Cricetulus griseus: one gene and its partner. The protein of the gene in region 2 interacts with the protein of the main gene of each other region in a biochemical or structural test. Links are inferred from orthologs where the notes say so. Each region holds a gene or a part of one and is shown on either strand. Other genes may lie near its edges. The genes, in order: Lnx2 and Gjd2.

The links.
Region 1: the proteins of Gjd2 (region 2) and Lnx2 form a complex in vitro, tested with the Homo sapiens proteins (2 studies listed by BioGRID and IntAct, with this or other methods). The link is inferred for Cricetulus griseus from reciprocal best matches to the Homo sapiens genes GJD2 and LNX2.

Annotation. Positions count from the first base shown.
Region 1 is NC_048597.1:82,926,032-82,930,324, forward strand, and holds the start of Lnx2 (ligand of Numb protein X 2), read right to left. Parts: upstream 2,944-4,293; 5' UTR 2,810-2,943; intron 2,783-2,809; exon of another isoform or gene 2,608-2,782; intron 1-2,607. Other genes in the region: Polr1d (DNA-directed RNA polymerases I and III subunit RPAC2), read left to right, coding at 3,849-3,874; protein POLR1D, read left to right, coding at 3,849-3,874.
Region 2 is NC_048599.1:64,469,414-64,473,559, forward strand, and holds Gjd2 (gap junction delta-2 protein), read left to right. Parts: upstream 1-1,501; coding exon 1,502-1,572; intron 1,573-2,604; coding exon 2,605-3,499; downstream 3,500-4,146. UniProt on the Homo sapiens protein: One gap junction consists of a cluster of closely packed pairs of transmembrane channels, the connexons, through which materials of low MW diffuse from one cell to a neighboring cell.

The DNA of each region.
Region 1 (4,293 bases), on a different chromosome or scaffold from region 2:
TCTCTCCTCTTTCCAGGCCTCTCTTGGCAATGTCTATCCCAACACGCACAGCGACAAGCCAATCATGCATGTAGCTCCTCACAAGGTTGATCCTGAGCTGAACTTCCTTTCACTTCCCTTTCTCTCACTTTACCAGGTGTTTGAAACTGTTCCTTCTCAAGCCTCTAACATTCCACTATCTCACTAATATTGTCATTAAAGGAACAACTAATATTTATCTAGCACTTGGGCTGCACCATAGACTGTGTCAAGGGCATTACATGCATAATTTCACTTGATCCTCAAACCTTACTAAACTGGTACTGTGACTATTTCCTTCATGGTAGGGAATCAAAACTCAGATGGAATAGTAATTCTAAAGTCATCTGAAAGAACCTGACCCTCTTCAGCTTCCAGGAGCAGCTAAATTCATCCACACCCATGCCCCATTAAAAAAAATAAATAAATAAAAAAAATAAAAAAAGGAGGAACCACAGGGTGTAGTGGCACACATCTTTCATCCTAGCACTCGGGAAGCAGAGGCAGGCAGATCTTTGTCTGGTCTACAAAGTGAGTTCCTGGGCAAGTTAGAGCTACACAGTGAAACCCAGTCTTAAAAACAAACAAAAAGCCAGGAATCATCTTTCATTGATGCTATCTAGTCACTCATCTAGTAGCCCTACGTCCTGAATGCCACACCAGCTTTCTTCAGACTGACAACCAGCACCGGCTAAGTTCGTACTGATCACCAAGCACTAATCTAAGCCATAGCCATGTTTGTTTTTTTATTTTTTCAAGTTTCCAAATCCTACCAGACAAAGATGCTAAAGAACAAAGAGACTGTCCAGAGGGTGACAAAATCTTTCTCAAGGCCAGATTATATGCACAGAGACTACATAGTAGAGCCCCCCAGTCTGTCTCTCACCTCTCATCTGGACCACCACCATCCTCCAGCCAGCTGCAGTTATCTTTATGGAATTTTCCTGCCTGAAATTAATACCTCGATATCACGAACTGGATGAAGTCCAAATGCCTTAATGTGATATACAAAATCCTTTCTTTTGATCATTTCAACAAATATCTGAGTACGCCCTGTGGAAAGTGCCATGAACCCTAAGATGAACAACAAATCAGCCCTGACCATTACTTCAACCCCAAACATTGTGCTCTTCAGACTAGCCATGTGCACAGCAGATAATGTCACATTCCATAGACATAAGCATTTGGGATGCTCCTGGAGAAAGCCCATACCAATTTGAAGATTGCCTGTGGTTTCTCTGATGCATTCTAGGCAGAAATGCTTCCAAGTTCCCACATCACTTTGTCCAAAATACCCTGAGGTAATTAGAGGACCAAGAAGTATATGGACCCTTAGCAACTTTAGGCAAGAAATGATCCTGTTCTTTCCACCAGGGAACAATGTAGATACCAGATGTAAATCCAATGAAAAGTTTCAGACTTGAGGAACAAAATACAGAATTAGAATTGAGCAGTGGACTGAAAACAAAGCAATGTGATTCTAGTGCTGTTCTGACTTGGCCTACATTTGACTCCTATGGGAAAACTCATGTGGAATTTGGACAGGCTAAAGTGGCAAAACACTGTTAGTTAGCTCAACAAGGATCCAACAGCTAACTAGGACACTAGATTCCCCTCCACTTTCCTTCTTTACCTGTCAAAGTCCTTTTCTCCAAAGGTGTGGGGGAGGGTGTTCAAATCTACCAAAGCAAACAGAATTGACCTCCTGAGATCCAACTTCATCTGTGCTGTGTCACTGTACAGGCTAGAGAAAAAGCAAAATGTGTCCTGGGAAGGAGGCCAATTTCTAAGTACTGTGACTACAAGAATGTGACATTCTTAAAGTGAAGGCAGTTTGGATCAACTAGAGCTCACAGATTCCTCCAATTGTCCTTGCCATTGGTTTCTGCGTTTTTTTGTTTTTTTTTTTTTGTTTTTTTTTTTTTTTTTTAAGAAAAATTGGCGGGGTGTAGGGGCGCATGTCTTTCTAACACCACAGCACTCAGGAGGCAGAGGGAGGCGGATCCTGTGAGTTCCAGGCCAGACAGGGCTCTACAGTGAGAAAAGAAAAATTAATTCGATAAAGCCATGCGGAAGCGTCCTTAGGCTTCTGGCAAACACACAATCTTAAACGTAAACGGGAATACTCCAATACTCCATTTAAAAAGTCCTTGTGTGAAACGTGGCAGAAAGCTTTGGAAAGCCAGAAATGTTTCCCAAGCGGTGCTTTTGTGCGCAAATGCTTCCAAACTGAGATGCATATTTTGGAAATGATCCTCCCCTTCCCCCAAACACGTCAAATCTGTCTCTAGCCTGAAGGGAAAGGTGAGAATTCTCCCGCAACAGGCTGGGGCGGGGAGAAGGATCTCTGCTCATCTCTTCCAGGGAACAAAACCAGAGGGCAGCCAGCTAGCGCTGCTTTAGCTCCCGACAACGTGCAGACGCGAAGTGCAAGAACTCGTCCCCAGAGCTCCCCGTTTTAAAAAGCGAGCGTCGCGCAGACCCGCAGCGCGGCGCCGGGAACCCGCACCCGCACCGGGCCGGGCCGGACTCCACGCGGCCCCCGGCGGTTCCCCTTACCCCAGCGCCACACCCTGTCACCGCCCGCACCTGAGGCGAAGTAACTCACTCAGGGAAAGCGGCGGGCTCCTCGCAGGAGCGCTGACGAGGACGCCGCCCGGCTCCACTCCGCCGGGACTCACCGCCGCCGATTTCCTGGCGAGAAGCAAAGTCCGGCCAAGACTTCACTTCTCAACCGCCCCTGCTGCCTTTCCCCTCGGGGGCGAGCGCAGGGGCCCAACCCGACACGCACCTGAGCCAATCAGCGGCGGAGAAAGGCGGGACTAAGAGCGGGCTCTGAGTCTTTCGGCCAATCAAGGAGCTCGAGGGGCCAGACCGGCCCTGCTCATCACTCCCGAGTTAGAGTGAGCACGCTCCGCCCTCCGCCATCGCTCCCGGCCGGATTCTCTCAGACACACACAGAGAAGACGCTCGGGAAGTGTCTGCTTGCACCCCGGAGCGCCGCGCCGGCCGTGGGACAGCTGAAGGGAGGGGAGGGCTGCGGGACCAGGCTGAGGGAGAACAGGTGGTGCGGGGTGGCTGACGTGTAGGTGTGCGCTAGAGGACAGCTGGGGTGGGGCGGGGACCCAGCCTGGCCAGGGTCAGGTGGGAACTGGGAGGATGCACCTGAGGGGAAGAGAAGGGCGGCTCCTTGGGATCAAAGGGGAAAGGAACCGCAGGTCCACAGTGGGTAAACCCGAGCTCCTGGGGAAGGAGGGCGGTGCTCCAAACTCATACTTCTCTCCGAAAAGAAAGACAAACGCTGCCTTGCACCTGATGGAGATGTGCATTTGCACCCCAGGGAGAAAAATGCTCCCTGTAAACCTCAGTATGGTCAGAAGAGTCATCTCTGCACACAAGTCTCTCTGCTTTTTCAAGGTTGCAAGGTGCCCTACGAAAGGCTCCAAAGGACTCCAGTCCGGGGGGGGGAAGACAGTCCCGGGGCAGTACCGTCCCTGGTGGGTCTAGCAGATGAGAGGTTCAACTCCGACCCTAAACAGCAGTGTCTGGGGGCGACAGGCGAGGGACTGCTTGCACCGTAGCCTCCTAGCTTCCGCAGTTCCAGGTGAGCGGTCCGGCCCGCACGGGGCGTGGCTGGGGCGTGTTCTGTTTTCGCCCCGCCCCTCCATCGGGTCCTGCCGCGCCGCTGCGGCTCCGCCCCCCTCCTTCCGTCATCCGCTTCTTCCGTCGGTGGTTTCTTCCTTCCTGCTTCGCCCGCATCTTTCGCGATATGGGGAAGAGCGTCCTTTTCGGCAGCACCACCTGAGGATTTCCTGGAGCCGCCCCTCGCGATGGAAGAGGATCAGGAGCTGGAGAGGTAAGGTTGGAGGGGAAGAGTGGAGGGGGCGGCGGGCCGGGCCAGCGAAGCGGGTAGCGACCGGGCACGCGGCCGACTGCGGCCCGGCGGGGCGGCTAGGCCTGACCCGAGGCGCTGGGCAAGGGAAGATCGAGAGTAGAGCCGAGCGGGTTGGGAAGAGGGAGGAGAAGCGGTGGTGGGTTTGTTTATACAGAAAAGCTCAGAGGGACACTAGCCATCCTGGAGGGGAGAGAAGTTGGGAATCCAGCTCTAAGTGCCAAACTGCCATCCCCATTAGAACTGCCTCGTGTAAGGTCACGCACCGGGCGGTGCTGGCATGTTAAGTCGGCTAAAGTTACTGCAACTCCGCTCTGCAGACTGCTCGTAAATTCTTTCTGACCGCCAAATTCTTCCTCCTATTAAACTTTTCACTTCCTTTG
Region 2 (4,146 bases):
TACTCATTGTGCTTTTGGTATTTATATGAAACACTCCAAGCTTTGATGTCTCCTAAAACTGACCCTAAGCTAATTAGCAGCTTGGTGTGATTGTTTCAATTTTCCTGGGACCAATTAAGTAGGTGCTGTAGATGGAACTGACAACAAAATGTAAATTTGAAAACTCATTGAGGGAGGGAGAAAAGCAAAGGCTGAATAAGGAGAGTCGGGGGTGGGGTGAGATTGTGAGCTGCTGTTTCAGCTAGATAAATACTGGGTCTCCTTAAATTCGGGCTGGACCGTGCTAACCTGGAAAGTACCCCCTACTCCCATCGGCTACGGGCAAATAAAAACACAGCCTCCTAATCTGTGCAGGGAGAAATGAGAACTCATCGTGGCCAGTCCACTGGCTCGCTGCTAGGCACCTGTTTGGTTGGCAAGTACTTTGTACCTAGATCTTCATGCTCAGAACACCTTCCCACCCGCATTTAGGCGTCAGCCAGCCGGGAGTCTCACTCCAGCACCTGATCAACCCACCGAAGCCAGGACCCTCTGCAGCACTCTCGTCGGAGGCTGTCCTCTCCCGGTAAGGGCTAAAAAAAAGCCCTTCCCCCAATCAGCACCACGATCTAGAAAAGGAATTTCAGTGGTGTCTCAGAAGGCCCAAAGCTAAAGGTGAGGGACAGGCGGGGGTTGGGGACTGGTGGGGGCAACTACACTGCCTGCTCGGGTCCCTCCTCACTCACCTACGTGTCTGCTCCTCCTGCCGGAGGCCGGCGGGCAGGTGAGGTTACCTGGGAGCCCCAGAAGCCCCGAGGGGCGCTGCAGTCCTCGGTCTCCCTAGCCCCGGCGCAGCGGGGGACTCCAGACCGTCTCCTCCCCCCCGCAGCGCGGCCGCGGCCCCTCGGGCTCCGACGCTGGGCGACAGCGGCACGCCGCGCTCTGCTCCCCTCCGCCGACCTGGCGTGACGCAGGCGGAGACTACTTAAGGGCGGATTAGAGGCGGTGGCCGCGGATTCCCCAGCCCCGCAGCCAGCTCTGCGCGCCGCAGCAGCGCGGGAGCGCCAGGTGCCCGCTCCAGTGACAGGCACTGGGGCCGGTGCGCGGACCCTCCCTCAGACCGCAAGATCGCGGGGAAGGCGGCGCAGAGACCGGTCTCCGGCGGGCAGGAGCTCGGCCACCTGCACGCTGCCACTCAGCCCCGCCCCTCGCCGGGAGACTGCGGGAGTCAACCTGATCCCCGGACGGCAGCGAGGTGCTGGATAGCTCCTCCGCACCGCGCCAACAGCCCCATTGGTCGGGTCGCGCATAGATTGCTTTCCCCCTACTCCCCTTTTTTAAGTGCAATAAAAGGGGGAGGGGCTCGTGGATTTTTTTTTTTAAAAAAAAAAAACATTTTTGTTTGCTTCTTTAATTGGGGGCAATTCGCTCTCGGTCAGGAGGTGCGGCCCGGGGAGGGGCCAGGACCAGGAACGTGCCCGGTACTGCCCAGTCTTTGTCTGCTGCCTCCGGATGCACAGCGATGGGGGAATGGACCATCTTGGAGAGGCTGCTGGAAGCCGCGGTGCAGCAGCACTCCACTATGATCGGGAGGTAAGGGCACCAAGCCAGACGTCAGCGGGCCCGTCGGGCGGCCCTTGGGAATATCTTCTCCCGTCTCTAACGATCCCCCAAACCCCCAACCAGCCCTCTGCCTCCTCCCCATCCTCTGTCCAAGTGCCAGTGTTGCCTGCATTAAGGGATTACCCGGAGCCCAGTGACGCCCCCCTCCTCCAGTTACTCCTGACCAGCTCCCCCATACTTTCTCTATAAAGCACCACAAGGGGAAGGGGTTCACGCTTCTCTTATCAGAAAAGGACTCGTGGACTCAGTCCTGGTACCCCTACTCTCCAGAGTCAGCGCCAATCTCCATCTGGTTCCCTAAATAGAATCTACAAGGAAGGCAGAATTGCATTTGGACAGAGAAGGGCAAGTGGGGAGATGGATTTGCTCATCACAGCAGATGCATCATTCTTTAACAGAAATTTATTAAGCTAGACCCCGTCCTCCGTTAAAACTTAATGCCAGAGAGCCACACACATAGCTGGCTTCTTTTTGTGGATATCTATATGTATGTATATATACACATGTGGATGGATATATATTTATTTATTCATATTTATAACTACCTGCAGTTATTTATTTATGTATATAGATGTGAATTTTGTATTCATAACTGTTTCTAGTGACAATTCAGTTCTAAATGTTGAGACTAGGATAGGACTACACAGGTAGGATCCTTTATAAAAGATTCTGTATGCATTGGCCAGAGTAAAGATATGTTTGCAGTCTGTAGACATTCTTCATCTACAGATTAACTATATACATTGCAAAAGAACCATAAACAGTGCATGAAATTGTTCAGATGTGAGATCCTTGTAATATGAAGTATTCCAAGCTTTCCAGCACCAAGCAGAAAAGGAAAACATAAAGTTGTTTTCTAGGCTCTCAGTTCAGTACCACTCAAGGGTGGACAGCTCCCCTGTTCAAGGACTGGTAAACATTGGAACAGGAAAGATCAGGGACTTCCCATCAGTGACTTAGCCTATGAGAACCTCTCTTCCCCCCTCCTTTTCCTCTGCTCAGGATCCTGTTGACTGTGGTGGTGATCTTCCGGATACTCATTGTGGCCATTGTGGGGGAGACGGTGTACGATGATGAGCAGACCATGTTTGTGTGCAACACCCTGCAGCCCGGCTGTAACCAGGCCTGCTATGACCGCGCCTTTCCCATCTCCCATATACGTTACTGGGTCTTCCAGATCATAATGGTGTGCACCCCCAGTCTCTGTTTCATCACCTATTCTGTGCACCAATCAGCCAAGCAGCGAGAACGCCGGTACTCTACTGTCTTCCTTGCCCTGGACAGAGACCCCACTGAGTCTATAGGGGGACCTGGAGGAACTGGGGTTGGGGGCAGTGGCGGGAGCAAACGAGAAGATAAGAAATTACAAAATGCCATTGTCAATGGGGTGCTGCAGAACACAGAGAACACCAGCAAGGAGACAGAACCAGATTGCCTAGAGGTTAAAGAGCTGACTCCACACCCATCAGGGCTTCGCACAGCAGCAAGGTCCAAGCTCCGAAGACAGGAAGGTATCTCCCGCTTCTACATCATTCAAGTGGTGTTCCGAAATGCTCTGGAGATTGGGTTTCTGGTGGGCCAATACTTTCTCTATGGCTTCAGTGTTCCAGGGTTGTATGAGTGTAACCGATACCCCTGCATCAAGGAGGTGGAATGTTATGTGTCTAGACCTACTGAGAAGACAGTCTTTCTGGTGTTTATGTTTGCTGTGAGTGGCATTTGTGTGGTGCTCAACCTGGCTGAACTTAACCATCTGGGATGGCGGAAGATCAAACTGGCTGTCCGAGGAGCCCAGGCCAAGAGAAAGTCGGTCTATGAGATACGTAACAAAGACCTGCCTCGAGTCAGTGTTCCAAATTTTGGCAGGACTCAGTCTAGTGACTCTGCCTATGTGTGAAACAGCAGGTTTGGGGAAGGCCTGTTGGGTGGCAAGTAACCTCAAGGCAGATGATGACTCAAGGGTAGACAGATCTGCCCTCATTTTTGTGATGCTCGCTGTCAAGGTCTAGGATACAGATGTTAAAGGGTCTTCATCGACAAAGAGAAAAGGTAGAACTGTCATCATGTTACACCATCCGTTCTACAGAGACAAATTGGGTAGAGTGACAAGGTGACTGAGCTGGACTTCCTTGGGCCTTTCTCTTTAATGGTCCTTCCTGCTTCTGACAATAGTGGACTGGCACAGCTGCCAAGCAAGACTTAGCTCTGCTGAGCTCTGTATTCTGGTGAATGGCATGAGTCAAATACTCATTGATATAAAATTTGTGACCCATCTCAGCACATCCCTTTATCCTGGGCTGCAGAAAAAACATCCCTGAGGATCTTTCTCCCCCATCAGCATGCCCCTTTCCCTCAAACCCAGGATAGCATGCCAGCTTTTCTGTTTCCTTGATCTGGCCTTACATTAGCCCTAACACAGTTTATCTGCAAGCTAGAGGGAATTACATGGGGTGCTTTTTGGAGACTGGCCAGGGCAGAGGTTTGCAGTAGAGCCCCATATGACTGGCTCTTAGTCATTATGAAAACCTTAGGAATGTCTCAATA